2 linked regions of the Macaca mulatta genome follow. The protein of the gene in region 1 purifies or fractionates together with the protein of each later gene. This does not show direct contact. Links are inferred from orthologs where the notes say so. Each region holds a gene or a part of one and is shown on either strand. Other genes may lie near its edges.

Evidence for each region. Proteins that work in one complex are often made in the same cells at the same time.
Region 2: the proteins of CHAMP1 (region 1) and CBX1 purify together in Homo sapiens (affinity purification with mass spectrometry; 6 studies listed by BioGRID and IntAct, with this or other methods). This does not show direct contact. The link is inferred for Macaca mulatta from reciprocal best matches to the Homo sapiens genes CHAMP1 and CBX1.

Annotation. Positions count from the first base shown.
Region 1 is NC_133422.1:108,394,712-108,399,725, reverse strand, and holds the start of CHAMP1 (chromosome alignment-maintaining phosphoprotein 1), read right to left. Parts: upstream 3,109-5,014; 5' UTR 3,010-3,108; intron 1-3,009. UniProt on the Homo sapiens protein: Required for proper alignment of chromosomes at metaphase and their accurate segregation during mitosis. Involved in the maintenance of spindle microtubules attachment to the kinetochore during sister chromatid biorientation.
Region 2 is NC_133421.1:61,908,895-61,914,143, reverse strand, and holds the start of CBX1 (chromobox protein homolog 1), read right to left. Parts: upstream 3,064-5,249; 5' UTR 2,989-3,063; coding exon 2,982-2,988; intron 1,852-2,981; coding exon 1,734-1,851; intron 1-1,733. UniProt on the Homo sapiens protein: Component of heterochromatin. Recognizes and binds histone H3 tails methylated at 'Lys-9', leading to epigenetic repression. Interaction with lamin B receptor (LBR) can contribute to the association of the heterochromatin with the inner nuclear membrane.

The DNA of each region.
Region 1 (5,014 bases):
AAATTTTTGCAATCTACTCATCTGACAAAGGGCTAATATCCAGAACCTACAAAGAACTCAAACAAATTTACAAGAAAAAAACAAACAACCCCATCAAAAAGTGGGCAAAGGACATGAAAAGACACTTCTCAAAAGAAGACATTCATACAGCCAACAGACACATGAAAAAATGCTCCTCACTCGCCATCAGAGAAATGCAAATCCAAACCACAATGAGGTACCATCTCACACCAGTTAGAATGGCAATCATTAAAAAGTCAGGAAACAACAGGTGCTGGAGAGGATGTGGAGAAATAGGAACACTTTTACACTGTTGATGGGACTGTAAACTAGTTCAACCACTGGAAAACAGTGTGGCAATTCCTCAAGGATCTAGAACTAGAAATACCATTTGACATAGCCATCCCATTACTGGGTATATGCCCAAAGGATTATAAATCATGCTGCTATAAAGACACATGCACACGTATGTTTACTGCAGCACTATTCACAATAGCAAAGACTTGGAATCAACCCAAATGTCCGTCAGTGACAGACTGGATTAAGAAAATGTGGCACACATACACCATGGAATACTATGCAGCCATAAAAAAGGATGAGTTCGTGTCCTTTGTAGGGACATGGATGCTGGAAACCATCACTCTCAGCAAACTATCGCAAGAACAGAAAACCAAACACCGCATGTTCTCACTCATAGGTGGGAATTGAACAATGAGATCACTTGGACACAGGAAGGGGAACATCACACACCGGGGCCTATTGTGGGGGGGGAGGAGGGGAGAAGGGGGAGGGATAGCATTAGGAGATATACCTAATGTAAATGACGAGTTAATGGGTGCAGCACACCAACATGGCACATGTATATATATGTAACAAACCTGCACGTTGTGCACACGTACCCTAGAACTTAAAATATAAAAAAAAAACAAAACACATTCACACAGTACAAGATACGGAGTGTCAGTCTGCAGGGGTAGCCAGTGTACTCATGTGTCCTGGAAGAAATGTCCTAGGCATATATTGATTAACACACATGCTTTACACAAATGGGATATTAAACATATTATCTGGCAACTTACTCTCATTTAGAATTCATCTCTTTAAGACATTTTTACATATGGAGTAAGCACTGACTTTCCTTGTACTTATCTTTGCATGTAAGGTTATTTCTGCAGGGAAAATTCCTAGAAATGGATTACTTAGCCATTTGTGTTTAAAATTGATACATTTTACCAAACTCTCGAAAACTTACATTACTGCAAAACAACAGTGTATATATGAAAGACAATTTCATATAAATTCCTAATCCTTGCTACAACCTAGGTGAAAGCCAGTATTTCACTACTGTGTTAATGTGCTTCTCTTAATGAGAAAGACTGAACACTTTTCCCTTATTGATGGTAATGATATTTACTGCATCTTAAAGAATGGTACAGATTAGAAACTCTGGCTCTCCCTTTATTAATTACAAAACCATTAATTTAAAAAAATGTAGGCCGGGCGCGGTGGCTCAAGCCTGTAATCCCAGCACTTTGGGAGGCCGAGGCGGGGGGATCACGAGGTCAGGAGATCGAGACTATCCTGGCTAACATGGTGAAACCCCGTCTCTACTAAAAATACAAAAAACTAGCCGGGCGTGGTGGCGGGCGCCTGTAGTCTCAGCTACTTGGGAGGCTGAGGCGGGAGAATGGCGTGAACCCGGGAGGCGGAGCTTGCAGTGAGCCGAGATCACGCCACTGCACTCCAGCCTGGGAGACACAGCGAGACTCCGTCTCAAAAAAAAAAAAAAAAATGTATAGGCCGGGCGCAGTGACTCACGCCTGTAATCTCAGCACTTGGGAGGCCGGGTGGGTGGATTACAAGGTCAGGAGATCAAGACCATCGTGGCCAACATGGTGTTTAGTGTCCTTTGTAGGGACATGGATGCTGGAAACCATCACTCTCAGCAAACTATCGCAAGAACAGAAAACCAAACACCGCATGTTCTCACTCATAGGTGGGACACACCATCGTGGCCAACATGTATTTAGTCTCTACTAAAAATACAAAAATTAGCCAGGCATGGTGGTGTGTGCCTGTAGTCCCAGCTACTTGGGAGGCTGAGGCAGGAGAATCGCTTGAACCAGGGAGTTGGAGGTTGCAGTGAACTGAGATTGTGCCACTGCACTCCCGCCTGGTGACAGAGCGAGACTGCGTCTCAAAAAAAAAAAAAAAGTATAATATTTCTAACTTTGATAACTTGTTTTTAAAGATGTTCTCAACGACAATACTGTTTCCTAACACTTTTATCCATGGTATATCATTTGCCTTTTTTATTTTTTGGTCTAAAGCTAAAAAGGTAACAGGTATTTGAGGAAATAAATACTTTTCTTTGGAAACTATTTACTCTTTCTGCGTTGCCAGCAGTTATTCTGTATTTTAGAATATTGTTTTTAGGACTAGGACTGTAACAAAAGAAAAATAAATAATTCAGTACTGAAGAAAAATCTCTAAAAATGATCTTTAACTTACAAACGTAATTGAATACATGCAGAAATAATGGGTTAACCATCCGTCTCAGAGCCCATTGTTAAATAAAACTAGAAGACTTTAAGGGAAACCGGAGAATAAGTCTCAATAATCCCATGCAGCTATAACTGGCAATAATGAACAGCCAAGCTAACATTAAAGAGCACTATATTACATACTGTAATTACAACAGAGACTAAGAGCTCAGGTGTGCTGGGTTTGAGTCAGACTCACCTACCATTCCCCATCCCTCCCAGCCAGCCCTCCTCTTCCCGCTGCCTACCATCAGCTCTTCAGGCCAATCTCATACTTAAACCTAAAAAGAATGCTACAGAATTCACTTCTCATATCCCAAATTATGTATATCTAGCGCACATCACACGTTATATCCATAAGGGCGTGTATACTTTTAGAGATTTCCTTCAAGAACTCCAAGTATTTTTTTTTTAATTTTCTCCTCATAAAATATTCTCCTAAGCATGCTTTCCCTACTAGACTTACCTGCTGTATTACTAGACACCTTAAAATTGGTCTTCAAAAGGCAGGCATTCTACATGGCTTTTTGACTAAACCAGAGCAAACAGCCTATAGTATAAGAAGAACAACAAGACGAGAAGTTGAACCTGGAAAAAAAAAAAAAGTGATCAAAACTGTATCTGTGATCATGTGTGTCCCCTGTGATAGAATTCTGTGTATTTCGCTCACCATCCTGCCCTAACAGTGAGAGGAGTCCAATCCACTAAGCCTGAACACTTACTTTTTTTTTTTTTGAGACAGAGTCTCGCTCCGTCCAGCCCAGGCTGGAGTGCAGTGGCATGATCTCGGCTCACTGCAAGCTCCGCCTCCCGGGTTCACGCCATTCTCCTGCCTCAGCCTCCCGAGCAGATGGGACTGTGCCCGCCACCACACCCAGCAAATTTTTTTGTATCTTTATTAGAGACGAGGTTTCACCGTGTTAGCCAGGATGGTCTCAATCTCCTGACCTCGTGATCCACCCGCCTCGGCCTCCCAAAGCGCTGGGATTACAGGCGTGAGCCACTGTACAGGCCTGAACACTTACTTTTATGAAATGACACCAAAGACTACAGTAGATACCACTCCTGACACCATCTTTGTCTACTTTCTCTTTAGTAATCCACTATGGAATTATGCCCATGTGTGTAATCATATCCTTCTCAAACCAACCACCTAACTTCACTTCTCTGATAAGCACTCAGAAGACTGCTGGTGTGACTACTGATGCTAACAATGGCTGACTTTTGTCAGTTATCAATATTACACAGCAGAGTGACAAATTAACAGGCAGTGGAGGAAGGGACACCACAACAAACAGGACCAAGAGGTACAAAAAGAAAGGACTCTGGGAGGAGGATGGCGGTGTCCTGACCCCAAGGAAGAACACATGGACCTCCTTCAGTGATTGCTCTGCCCTCTTCTCTTCCCGCATGCATTTCAAAGATAAAGCATCATGGTGTAGATGAGTCTGCTGACAAGAACAGAATGTGATAAACTGGCTGTGCACAAGCTACACAACAGCGCACACTGTGCTTCTCATTAGCTCCAGCACATTCATCTACCCCTTCTCTATCCCCTACCCCGTCACTGCTTTAATTCTGACATCTTAACTTCCTGCCACTAGTCTCCCTTTCTTCCAGCTACCAAACCTGTCTTCCAAACAGAAGCCTAATGTGACCTGCCTGTTCACATTTCCTCCAAGGCAACTAAGACACCTACACTACACGATTTGAATACAGCATATAAAGCTCTTCACAGTCTGGCCCATGACCAGACTGCGTTCTCAAAATACTGGCCCACATGTAATTCCCTGACTATTCCAGCATCTGGGTTTTTGTATAAACTATTTCCTCTCCTTTACACTCCCTGTCTTGCCTGGCCTTCAGGCAGGACGGCTTTTTAAGTCAGCTGTCTCCCTGTAAACACGGGATTGGTTCCAGGACCACTCCCATATGCCAAAATCCACACATACTCAGGTCCTACAGTCAGCCTTGTGGAATTCCCATATATGAAAAATCTGCCCTCCATATAAATGTTTCACATTCTGTAAATGCTGTCTTTTTTTATTGGCATTTGGTTGAAGTTCAAACCTCTGTTATTCATGCGTCAACTGCACTGGCCAATTTTCCACTCCCTCCCAATCTTCCTAGAAGCCCCAGCTGTATATGTCACCCTCTGGCACTACAGCCTGATACCAACAACAGGTTGCCAGCTCCTGGAGAGGAGGGACTATCCATTTATTCACCTCTGGAACCGCTGCACATCCCTGGCACACACCATGTGCTCTGTTCAATCCTAACGTTCTCTCAATCTTTGACTCACAGGATTTTAAAACTAGAGGAAAACCTAAGCTACTATCTAGTCTCAAAGTCTTAGGATTTGGGGATAGGAAAAGACCTCAGGGATCATCTACTTTAAAACTTCAATTAATAGTTAAGGAAACTCAAGCTTGACATTAAACAGCTTGCCCAAGTCAGACAAATGATCAGTA
Region 2 (5,249 bases), on another chromosome or scaffold:
TCAGGAGACTGTGACAGGAGAATTGCTTGAAACCCAGGGGAAGGAGGTTGCAGTGAGCCGAGATTGCACCACTTTACTCCAGCCTGGGCGAAGAACGAGACTCTGCCTCCAATAAACAAAAAAATTAGCTGGGCATGGTGGCGCATGCCTGTAATCCCAGCTACTCGGGAGGCTGAGGCAGGAGAATTGCTTGAACCCAAGAGGCAGAGGTTGCAGTGGGCTAAGATCGTACCATTGCACTCCAGCCTAGGAGATGAGAGCGAAAGCAAAACTCCATCTCAAAAAATCAAAAAATAAAAAATAAAAAGAAATGAAAAGAAAAATGGGCACAGTGGCTCACCCCTGTAATTCCAGCATTTTGGAAGGACGAGGTAGGAGAACTGCTTGAGCTCAGGAGTTCAAGACCAGGCCGGGCAACATAGTGAGACCTCATCTATACAAATAATAATAAAAAATTAGCCGGGCATGGTGGCATACACCTATGGTCCCAGCTACTTAGGAGGCTTGAATAGGAGGATCACTTGAGCCCAGGAGGTCGAGGCTGTCTTAATATTAAGACATGTGAGGCCAGGCATGGTGGCTCACACCTGTAATCCCAGCACTTTGGGAAGCCGAGGCGGGTGGATCATGAGGTCAGGAGTTCAAGACCAGCCTGACCAATATGGTCAAACCCCGTCTCTACTAAAAATACAAAAATTAGCCGGGCATGGTGGCACGTGCCTGTAATCCCAGCTAGTCAGTATGCAGTTTCTTGAGACTTTCCTGATGAGATCAGTGATGAATTTAATAAATGTGATTTTTTTTACATTGAATAAATGCATTAACATTGACTGATCTGCATAATTCTGTACCAGTATTTTTTAAATGGCTTCAGACTCCCTATTGCACTTAACCTTTTTTTTTTTTTTTTTTGAGATGGAGTCTCGCAGTGTCTCCCAGACTGGAGTGCAGTGGCGTGATCTCGGCTCACTGCAAGCTCCACCTCCTGGGTTCACGCTATTCTCCTGCCTCTCCTGCCTCAGCCTCCCGAGTAGCTGGGACTACAGGCGCCCGCCACCACGCCCGGCTAATTTTTTGTATTTTTAGTAGAGACAGGGTTTCACCGTGTTAGCCAGGATGGTCTCGATCTCCTGACCTTGTGATCCACCCGCCTCGGCCTCCCAAAGTGCTGGGATTATAGGTGTGAGCCACCACGCCTGGCCTGCACTTAACCTTTTTTTTTTTTTGAGACGGAGTCTCGCTCGGTAGCCCAGGCTGGAGTGAGTGGCCTGATCTCAGCTCACTGCAAGCTCCGCCTCCCGGGTTCCCGCCATTCTCCTGCCTCAGCCTCCCAAGTAGCTGGGACTACAGGCGCCCGCCACCTCGCCCAGCTAGTTTTTTGTATTTTTAGTAGAGACTAATACAAAAATACAAAAATTTTGTATTTTTAAAAATTTTGTAAAAATACAAAAATTTTGTATTTTTAGTAGAGACGGGGTTTCACCGTGTTAGCCAGGATGGTCTCGATCTCCTGACCTCGTGATCCGCCCGTCTCGGCCTCCCAAAGTGCTGGGATTACAGGCGTGAGCCACTGCGCCCGGCCCACTTAACCTTTAAGAAATGACTCCATCTCCAAGGTGGTGTGTACTTAAAAAATAAATAAATAAATAAATAAACACTTCCAGTCTCGGCAACATAGGGAGCCTCTATCTGTATAAAAATTAAAAAAATTAACCGAGTATGGTGGCACACACCTGTGGTCCCAGCAGCTCCAACGGCTGAGGTGGGAGGATGACTTGAGCCCTGGAGGTTGAGCCTGCAGTAAGCTGTGATCCTGCCACTGCACTCCAGCCTGGGCAACAGAGCAGGAACCTGTCTCAAAAAAACAAAGAAAAGTTACCATTTGTTGAATTTGGGTAGTATCAAAGAAGAATATTCAAAATTGTTTGAGAAGGCTAAATATACTCTTCCTTTTCTCAACTACATATCTATTTAAGGCTGAATTTTCTTAATGTACCAAAACAACAGAGCACAACAGAGAAAGGGGAAGCACATATGAGAATCCAGCTATCTTCCTTAATTTATTTTTATTTTTATTTTTTTACAATGGAGTCTCCCAGGCTGGAGTGTAATGGCGCAATCTTGGCTCACTGCAACCTCCGACTCCTGGGTTCAAGCAATCCCCCTGCGTCAGTCTCCTGAATAGCTGGGATTACAGGTGCCCATGACTATGCCCAACTAATTTTTGTAGTTTTAGTAGAGACAGGGTTTCACCGTGTTGGCCAGGCTGGTCTCGAACTCCTGACCTCAGGTAATCCACCCGCCTCCAGCTCCCAAAGCGGTGGAATTACAGGCGTGAGACACCGTGCTCGGCCCCTTTCTTTTCTTCCTTTTAGCTGTTTTTCTTTTTTTCAGACAGGGTCTTGCTCTGCAGAGATCAGGGCTCCCTGCGGCGTCGAACCCCTGGTTCAAGACTTCCTCCTGCCTCAGCCTCCCTAGTAGCTGGGACTACAGGCACATGCCACCACGCCTGGCTAATTTTTAAATTTTTTTTTTGCAGAGACGAGAGTCTCCCTAAATTTTGGTAGGGCGTGTCTCAAGACTAGCCTCAAACGATCCTCCCGCCTCGGCCTCTCTAATAAGTGTTGGGATTACAGGCGTGAGCCACCGCGCTAGACTTGCTGAAATTATCTTTAAATAAGTTGTTAAAAGACCATCGCAAAAGTCTTCAACACATTGAACGGTTTTCTCTTGCTCCCTAGCTGCATGATGCTGCTTCCAGTTTGTTTTGGTGTGAGCCATCTGAGTCGCCGGACCCTCTCGAGTCTGGCTTTCACTCTGACAATCGGTCAGTGGCTTTACGAATCGGAATCGGAGTCCCCTTGATAGCTCCGCTGGGGAACAACAAACTACGAGGTTCCAATGGTGACTCTCGAGACTTAGTGAGGATCCAGGGATGTGGGCTTCCTAAAGCCCCGAACCTCCCACACTGCAGACCGTACCTCGCATTAAGGGAACAAGAGTAACAATCCCCTCACACCCCTCTGCTCTCGCGACCCACTGGCTGACCGTTGCGGACGCCCCCTGGCCGCTGATTGGCTTCCCCTGACAGTGGGCGGAAAGCGGCCCCGGATTGGATATCCGAGCCCATTCGCCGTCCCTCACCCCGCACCTGCGTCCACTCTCTAGCGTCCCAAGTGAGTGGAGGGGGGATCCCGACTCCAGTCCCGGGCCTTGGCAAGCGGAACTGCGCCGTTCGGAAGCGGGAATCCCACTCAGAGCCCGGGCCTGTAAAGGCGGGGCGTCCTGGGCAGCCGGGGTTAGGGCGTCTCCCGTCGTGCACTGGGGCACCGGCGACTCACCCGGAAGGAGAAGCCGTGATCTGGCTATATGGTGGGGCGCGGGCGGTGTCGCTGTGGGGAGCTGGTGCTGTTCTCAGGTGAGAGTGCGTGGGCGGGGCCTCGGGGAGTAGGGGCTGCGCTCAGGTGAGGGGGCGTAGGCTTGAGCGTCAGTAGTGGCACTCGGGATGGTGGCATCGCTTTACATCCTAGGGAGGGACTCTCTTACCACCCGGCATTAAGGCAAGGGCTTGCTGGGGATCCAAAAACCGACTTTTCAGTTTACCTTCAAAGTATATCTTTCACTTCCTACTCCCCCGGCTTAATCGGAAAGGAAGAAGGATCATGTGGACCTTTCGGTCCTAGTTTGTTGCGAATGGAGGAGGAGTGATCGTAGTAAAAGACTGGGGACATTTACTTAAACGGCTAAGACTGGGGGCAATGGCGAGTATTTTACGTGGACACGGGAGACTTGCGGTAGATTGTGGTCGCCGTTGTTAATTACCTTCCAAGTGAAAGGAGTAGGTTAGAGATGGACAAAAAGATGGAGCATAACTGCTTGGTTGAGATCACACAAAGCTTGGTCAGAACTGGGAGCTTCCTCTATCTAGTACGTGTGATATTTATAATTGGAGGGAGAGCTTTTTGAATTGCTATCTGCCATCTGGCACTAAGGGCTCAAGATTGAGTAAGAAGGGACGGTAGTCTCAGTAGTTCCATCTACTTTAATCACCTGATTTTTTTCTTAACCTGTCTCTTGAAGTTGTTTAAATGGGAGAGAAAATAAATGGTGAGACTAAAGCCTTGTATTGTTACTATATTAGAAGCTTTACGATGAATCTACTTTGTAAACAGCAAACAATTGGGTACTCACCAGCGCTACTGGTGCTGGTACAGGTGAAGAAAGTGAAGGAAACTTCAGATGTGGTTGAAAGGGCCCAGGAAATGTAGTTAACACCGAGTTATGTAATTAGCTATGGTCACTGACTCTAGCCTTATTTGGATGACGTACAGATCCATCTCCCAGATTATAGAACTAAAGTTAGGAACTTTCTGCTTCTTCTCCAGAGGCAGAACTGAGCTTTTTCTTTTGAGGAGTGGTATCTGTGGGGAGGAATCTAATGAAGAATAGTGGTTGCTAGAAATTACTACTTGGTGTCTAGGTTTTTGTATTTGTTCCAGTGTTTGTTTGTTTGTTTTTGAGATAGGGTCTCGCTCTGTCGCCCAGGCTGGAGTGCAGTGGTGTGATCTTGGCTGACTGCAGCCTCTGCCTCCTGGGTTCAAGCGATTCTCATGCCTCAGTCTCCCGAGTAGCTGGGAGTACAGGCCCGTGCCACCATGCCCAGCTAATTTTTGTATTTTTAGTAGAGACGGAGTTTTTGCCGTGTTGGCCAGGCTGTTCTCGAACTCCTGGCCTCAAGTGTTCTGCCCGCCTCAGTTTCCCAAAGTGCTGGATTACAGGCAGGAGCCACTGCGCCGGCCCAGTGTTTTTAAGGACAGTTACAACTGCAACTTTCTTCCTTTTTTTTTTTTGAGACAGAGTCTCACTCTGTTGCCAGGCTGGAGTGCAGTGGTGCGATCTCTGCTCACTGCAGCCTCCACCTCCTGGGTTCAACTGATTCTCCTGCCTCAGTCTCCCAAGTAGCTGGGACTACAGGCACGCGCTACCACGCGCAGCTAATTTTTGTATTTTTAGTAGAGACGGGGTTTCACCATGTTGGCCAGGATGGTCTTGATCTCTTGACCTCGTGATCCGCCTGCCTGGGCCTCGCAAAGTGCTGGAATTACAGACATGAGCCGCCGTACCTGGCCCATCTGGAGGGTTTTTTTTTTTTGACAATGGAGTCTCGCACTGTCACCTGGGCTGGAGTGCAGTGCAACCTCCGCCTCCCGGGTTCAAGTGATTCTCCTGCTTCAGCCTCCCAAGTAGCT